Linked DNA regions of Mytilus edulis. The protein of the gene in region 1 binds, or shares a complex with, the protein of each later gene. Links are inferred from orthologs where the notes say so. Each region holds a gene or a part of one and is shown in the gene's direction. Other genes may lie near its edges. The genes, in order: DNA-directed RNA polymerase I subunit RPA2-like and RNA polymerase I-specific transcription initiation factor RRN3-like.

Region 1 (3,937 bases):
TTCCAAAATGTGAAATTACTTTTACATAGTTGATTTTTAAGATACTGACATAAAGAACCAATTGATTGGTCAAAATTTGGTATTTCAATCTCTTTGAATATAATCTATACTACAATACCATGTATTTACATTAGAACTTTGTAACTGTATGTTTACAACATATAAATGCATCAAATAATCATCCTTCTTTCAAACGTTCCAGTCTATGACAATATTTTAACATTGATAAAATTATAGTAAAATACATAGGAAATCTACCAATCTCTGACATTACAGCTATATTACTTGACTTTCTATTTACACCAGGAATATATTTCATAAATTTGGTATGAGCTTTTTCGGAAGAATCCTGACCAAAAACTTGTTCCTATAGAACGTTCTATACTATATATAGTAGATATATATATATAATATTCAGACAACAAGGGATCCTGTAGACCCCCCCCCCCCCCCCAGCTGTAGACTGCCCAGGGGGTCCTGTAGAACGTCATTTAGTGTATACATGATAAACAAACAATATAAGGGATCCTATAGAACGTTTTGTAGTAGATATATAAGGTTCAGACAACAGGGGATCATGTAGAACGACCAGGGGATCCTGTAGAACGCCCTAACAGTAGCTTTATTGTAAACAAGTAACAATGGTTCCTATAGAACGTCCAGCTATAGTAGAATGGTCAGACAACAGGGGGTCACATTACAGATTCGTTTCTTTAAACGCAGACCAGTTTAAACACCCTCTCACACTCCTGTAAAGCCTTAGTACGTGTAACAATATATGTTTAACATGTGTAAGCTACATCTTTTTTTCAATTTGCCTACATAAAAATACTCTTTTAGACGGATAATAAAAATATTATTAACTCCATAGTATATCCAAAGCCGTGGGACCACGTGCATGTGACATTTGCAGGTCTTTACAACATAATTAAGGCACTAAGTCCTACTGTTTATCATATCTATATGAAATGTTTCATGTGTATCTTAAAAAGGAATCTGTATATATTTGTACTATGATATATGCTACTGTAATGCGGTACATTTTTCTTTTTTTCATGTGATAAAATAATAAATAAAGCAAATTCACCGTGTTACATGAAAGTTAATGATTTTGAATCGGTTTTTTTTAATAGCTGTACATGTTGAGAATATTCTATTTTTAGAATAAGTATTTTCAGAATCGTTTATAAATAGCCTATAAATAGAATATGCATAATTCATGATTCGTGACGTAGGGCGGTCTACGGGATCCCTTCTTCCGCTTACCATATACACGTGTGATATAAAAACAAAACAAGCTGGGTAACTAAGTTAATATATATATGTTCCTGAAAAAAGTGACGGATTGTGAGGAAAAGGGGGAGGGCCAATAAAAATGTCCTGTGCCCAAGTATCTATGATTCTCTTCGGGCCACCACAAAAAAAAACAATAGTGCCGAGAGTGGCGTAAAAGACAATAAATTAATCAATAATGCGTGTTCATGATATTCTCCTTGGTAACTGACGAACTGACGAATATTTTTAAAATACGGAATTCCAAACTACGTCCTACCCTGTAATACTATTATTATTTTTTTAATTTAGTCATCAAAACGTTTAATAAGACAGAAATATGTTCTATACATTCAAACCTTATATTTACGTAGACAACAACAACAAATGCACGTGGGAAGAAAATCAAAGAACTTTTGTTCAAAATGACAGAGACTGGGGATCGAATACAACCAAGTTTCAAAAATTTAACACATAAAGATTATGGCAGACCTAATGATAAGCAACATATGGTAAACCTTATAAGTTATATATTTGTTTATATCCGATCTGTAGACCCCCCTTTTTTCCCCTACTGTCGTTCTGACACTAGTCACAGAAACAACCGTTTCATACGTCAATTATGTCAATTGATGTTTCAAAATAACAAATGGATAACAAATGTTGAGTTAACACCTACATATTTTCACTAGAATCTGATAAACCTGTGCAATTTTTTAAGCATAAGACAAATTTATAGCTAGTTTCCACCAGTGGCAGTACATAATTTTTTTTTATAATATTGTCTATTGTCTATAATATGAGGCAGGCATTACCTGTGAATGGGGACGAAGTTGTTAAAAAAAAAGAAACGGAAATACTGTAACGTTTCCGATTTTGGTTCTGTTGTTAGGTATTTTACTTGTGACGTTATTTAAGTTATGACGTCTTATTACATTGGTTGTAATGAATTACATTGATTCCCCAGTTAGATAAAAACCGATAATTTCACATGTGAAATAAACGGGGTTATTTCACTCTCTGATGTCATACAACAATAGGCGTTGTCAAGACGTCGATAACGTCGGATCAAAACAAATTGTCAATGCGTAGGAAAAAGATATAGTTCCTTACCAAGGATCCGGAAATTTTTTCACCTAATTTCGGTCATTTTCATACAACTTAAAAGTTGATGCCCCTTTTCAAAAAATGATTGTCAAAATCACATTACTGCATGAGACTCATTATGAGTATGCTCATACTCGATCGTCATGTTCGTAGCATCAACAAACTTGTTTCACTGTTGCATCGCATTTACTTCATGATTTGTCCTACCATTTTCCAAAAATCGTTTAAGAGCAATTAAGGGAAGGCAACAGTTTATAAATAAAATGATTTTAATGACTCAAAACGATAATATTCTCAGTTATTGCTTACGTTTCCTTTGATTCTGAAGTCAAAATTCAAACCGGATGTACTGCGACAATACTAAAACGAACAATTCCGGACTCATTTCCGGGATTAGTTTTGTTTATCCAAATCACAGGAAATCATCGGCTTTTTAATATTTTACCTTTAATAGTGTAAGAATATTAATTAAAATAGTTGCACTAGCTTTATTTAGGATGAAATTATTTTATATTTACAATTAATTGTCTAAATCTGTGGAAGAGAATTTCAAACATGCGTATTACATAGTAAACAAAGCACGTGTGTTAGAAGTAAAAAAAATATTTTTTTCTATGAAATTAAACCAAGTTTTAATTTAATTTTAAATCATAATTGACAATTGTCTGACCTGTTGAGTAATTAAATAATGAAGCCAGTTGGTATGGAATTTTTATTTCTTTATAATAATAGTTTGGAGCTTGTGATTAATTGCCAGGTGTGAATTAAAAACACAGGTAAAGAGATTAGCAATCATTAGCCAATAGCTCCCCGAGGCATTAATATAGTTATTAGGAGGGCCCTCAGGATTATAACACTTTAATGAAGTGGCAGTTTAATTACAGGAAGTCGATAACAAAACAAAAATATGTTCAAAATGGCGATTTTGAAAGCTGATCTCAACGAAATGACCGAAATTATTACGGTTGAAAAATAAAATTTGACCTAAATCCCAATTAAAAGTTTAGGACATTATAGTTTCAGTTTAGGACATGACTGGCAAATATGACCGTTTCCGGACCCTTGTTCCTTACATTTTCCACATTAATTTCATAAAAAAAAAACATTTGCCAATGTAATAAAAAGAATAACTAATCGCCGTATTTGCCGTAATCACTCGTTTAATCCATGCGTCGTTCGGTCACGCGTTGTCTTATTTTTGATATTCAAATACGGCAATTAGTTCTACTATAAATGTTCAATGTAAACAAAGAAACACAATGCATCAGGTAACGTTAATTCATATCAAAGACAAAGAATTATTAAAAATGAAATATTGGCATTGTGTTCCTTGAGTTCCTATATTTTACTAGACTACTCAAAGTCTCACGACAACAAGACCGGAAGAAGGAAGTAGATTTCTGCGTTCTGCGCAAATGCGGGAATTAAAGAAAGCGACAAAAATATTTGAACGAATTTTCCCAAAATTAAAAAAAAAAAATAATAAATTATTGATTTTTCTACTTTAATAGGGGACTTCTTCCCCATATAAAAGTTTATATACAGGTTCGTCATTACA
Region 2 (3,937 bases), on another chromosome or scaffold:
TCCATGTATAGTAATACATTTAAACAATGTAATCACATGCCTTTACAATGGTTTAGTTGTAATTTTGTTTGAATATCTGGCAAAGGTAATTTAACTATTGCATAGAATAAATGTCCAGAGACTATAGACTAATTGTATGAAAGATTGAGAACAATCTTTACACCTGTTAAACAAAAAGATTGATAACAAACCTTTGAGACCTCTGATGAATATAAACAATAGCAATATTTAAACAAACTGGATCATGATTAAATGTTAACCAATTTCGACACTTAAGGTAGCCGAAAATTACTATTTGATGTCCGACGGTACACATAGTACAGGGCATTTCTACTAGCTGTCCTATATGAGGGCAGAATGAACTTGAACTGGAACAACTTTGGATGAATCTACTTGGCCCGAATTTACATGAAAGCAGTGTCATAAAAGCTACTGTTGTGTGCAGCAACACTCCAACAAGTCTTCCTGCCTCATATGAATTCTTCCCTTAGAAGGTGTGCTAGATACTTAGTAAGCTGTAAGCGATTGAGATAAGGAAGTACTTTTTTAGCCCAGTCAGTTAACACGCTGCCTGGTAACACAGAGGTCTTGGGTTTCTAGTCCTGGTAGAGACAAGATTTTTTAGTACATGTTTGTATGTAGAATCATGCTCTAATTGGCGCCAAACTAGAAAAAAACATGGTGGTAAGAGGGGAATTCTAGCTTGGGTACATTTATTTTGTGTGAGAGTCATTATGGTATGATGACTCTTGAGGTGGGGGAAGTGTTTCAGGATTATGTGGTAGATACTTAGTTAGCCGTAAGCGGTTGAGCTAAGGAAGTACCAATTAATTTATCTCAGTACTGCACTGCAAAATCCAGTTAAGTTATGAATTTTCTAAATCATACAATGCATTTGAAGTCTATTCATCTAGGGCATGCTTTGCCTTAAAACGTTTCCAGATGCACAGGTTTGTCTGTACTCAGAGTAAATTTTGAGGTGAAAATGCAGCCATTTTAGCCACAGGGTCCACATGGTCCACATGAACCATAACATGCTGCCTGGGAAGAAGGAGGTCTCGTGTTTGAGTCCCGGTGGAGAATAGATGATTTTGTATGTAGAATCAGGATCTCCGGATACATTAGATTAATTGTTGCTTGCTTAACGTCCAGTGGCAAATATTTCATGACAAAGTATTATAAATTAATGATTGCAATCTTCTCTCAGAATTGCCTGCTATCAATTAAAATAATAGTCACTTCCTTTTCTACCTAAAATTTACCTATCTTGATGGATACACTTTGCATTAACACAATCATTGTCTCTTAAAATAACTGACTTCTCCCAATCTGGAAGTAAACATCCTTGTAAAGATAAATACAGAGGGACAGCTTTTCCAAGAAATTTCAAGGATATATGTCGCTGTACATCTTTCATTGTCCGGAGATCACCTGTATCGATTAATAACCATGAAGCATCAAACTCGTTGTTTTCAAAATACACTTTAATTCGAACGTGTGTGGCCATGGGCGCAGCCATCTTGATTTCTAGGGTATAACTCGCCTCCAATGCAGAAGATCATTACATCAACAGCACGATTTTAAAAAGTGTGACAGGTAATTTCAAATAAGTCACGTAAATTCAAACACTCGTCGTTTCAGAAGATATAGTGTTATGCTTTCTTAACGAAATACATTCTAAATCACAAAAATTATGAATTATTATAACAGAAAAAAAACATAATTTGGCATAATTTAAATTTGTTGACATACATACGTACTGATTATTTAAATTATTGTCAGTAATGATGGACTTGCTAAATCCCTTTTAGGATTATAGACAACATATTCTACCAAGATAATGTACAAGGAAAGACGAAAAAGAAAGAATCGTAGACTTATTCTTCAATCTTCAATCTTTGTCGTGATCACAGAGTAATCTCTCTTGTGAATTATCCTCTCTTGTAAAATAATTATCACTAATGTAGTTTCTCCTTTGTACTTAGATATTGTAGGTGGCGCTTTAAAAATAATATGAGGCAGGCATTACCTGTAAATGGGGACGAAGTCTGTATGAATTATTTTTTTGTAACTTAAATATTTGTTAAAAAAAAGAAACGGAAATACCGGAACGTTTCCGATTTTGGTTCTGTTGTTAGGGATTTTAGTTGTGACGTTATTTAAATTATGACGTCATATGCAATGTAAACAAAGAAACGCTATCATCAGGTAACGTTTTTTCATATCAAGGAATTATTAAAAATGAAATTGGTATTGCGCGTTCCTTCCTATTTTATACTAGACTGATAAATATATATTTTACTCAAAGTTTCATACAAACGAGACCGGAAAAAGGAAGTACATTGTACATTTCTGCGCAGGTCCGGGATTTCAAAACACGACAAAAAAAAAATTGAACGATTTTGAGTTCATTAGTATACAATGAAAAATTCGGGAAATTTTCCCGAATTTTTTTTTTTATTGAATTTTCTACTGTTATTGAAAAAAAATGGTTAATTAGATTATCAAAATGGCATGAAAAATTAAAAAATATTAAAAATTAAAAGAAATTTGTATTAAATTATCCACTAAAACGGTTTGTTTCCTTTATATACGCCGCTAATAGTTGATTAATACTTTGTGTATTTGGCAAATTGATTGTTAATAAATTGACTTATTCGATACCAGACAAAATTGACTTTAACCAATGCAAAGCATGATAAATTGAAAGTGATGTATCGGCGGTTTAACTAATTTTTCACGAAAAATAATTTCTGAAGTCAATGGTATTTAGTTAAACAACAAATTAATGTTATTAAAAGATTTAAAAACCTTATAAATTACTCACATTACGCACAGATAGATTTGCTCTTTCTGCTAGCTCTCCATTGTAAATAAAAATTAATGTCCCTCATTAGGGATCTCTAATTACAGGGTCAATTACGGAAATTGGCAAATAGCCTATTGAAATAAGAAATTATGACACTTTCGCAGTCAAGTCAACACATGGTCAAACAAGCAATCACTTTTCCTTTGTAACGCGTCAGACATTATCTCTTCTTCTTATGGTATCCAGTTAGGCTGATTAAAATTAATTGATCGATTTTAATCCCCGCTTGCCCCTCTGAAATCGTCCTTCCCCAATTTTTTATTTTGAAAAATTTACGATTTCCGTTTTTTTTTCATTTCCGTTACCGGTAACTGTCAATAACTTCGTTTCATTCAAAACTTCCTGTTTCAAATATCCGTTTTCATATTTCTTGTTTCGAGTACTTTAAAACGATTAAGTTGACATGTACATATTCTGCTGCTCAACAACTGCTCAATAATGACAAATTATTAGGGATGTCAAAAGATTTGAAATTTAATACTCGGATACTCGGTCATGATACTTGAGTACTCGCAATTACTCGGATGAATCTTAAACGCCTATTGAAAAGTTTAGATTTGAGGTGGAATGCAGTATTTTGTTATTACCTTTTATAAACATAAGACAAATGTACTACAAACATAGCTTGCTTCTCCTTTTTTTTGTGTTTATTAAACAATGAATTACCGACCGCCGTTTCTACAAATAACCTATCATAATTGTTGTTTGTGTAAGTGTTTATGAATCCAGAGACATGTCTCTGATGAACCAAATTCCAATAAAATAAAAAATATTTACATATAAAGTCCTACAAAGAAGACTACATTTGTATCATCTGTTCCTGCGGAGTTTTTTTTTAATACGATATGTCCATTAATTTTTCAACAACAATATTGGACTTTAAATTACTTTTGCTTTTTCGTGTCGCTCAGTCTTACTTTTTCTGTGTTTTTTTTTTTTGCTCTAGATCGTTGGTCTTATTTTCATTTTTTTTGTTTTTAATCATGTATAAACACCGTTAAAAATGTCTCTATTCAGTTGCGTAGGGTTCACCGCAGGTCACTTTGTTCTTGTTAAGAAATATGATCT

The links.
Region 2: DNA-directed RNA polymerase I subunit RPA2-like (region 1) and RNA polymerase I-specific transcription initiation factor RRN3-like share a complex: the UniProt entries of both Homo sapiens proteins name them as parts of the pol I pre-initiation complex. The link is inferred for Mytilus edulis from reciprocal best matches to the Homo sapiens genes POLR1B and RRN3.

What each region holds. Positions count from the first base shown.
Region 1 is NC_092345.1:94,834,787-94,838,723, reverse strand, and holds the start of DNA-directed RNA polymerase I subunit RPA2-like, read left to right. Parts: upstream 1-1,624; 5' UTR 1,625-1,697; coding exon 1,698-1,784; exon of another isoform or gene 1,785-2,211; intron 2,212-3,669; exon of another isoform or gene 3,670-3,937. UniProt on the Homo sapiens protein: Catalytic core component of RNA polymerase I (Pol I), a DNA-dependent RNA polymerase which synthesizes ribosomal RNA precursors using the four ribonucleoside triphosphates as substrates.
Region 2 is NC_092352.1:27,404,564-27,408,500, forward strand, and holds the start of RNA polymerase I-specific transcription initiation factor RRN3-like, read left to right. Parts: upstream 1-1,519; 5' UTR 1,520-1,596; intron 1,597-3,937. Other genes in the region: coilin-like, read right to left, coding at 1,263-1,519. UniProt on the Homo sapiens protein: Required for efficient transcription initiation by RNA polymerase I (Pol I). Required for the formation of the competent pre-initiation complex (PIC).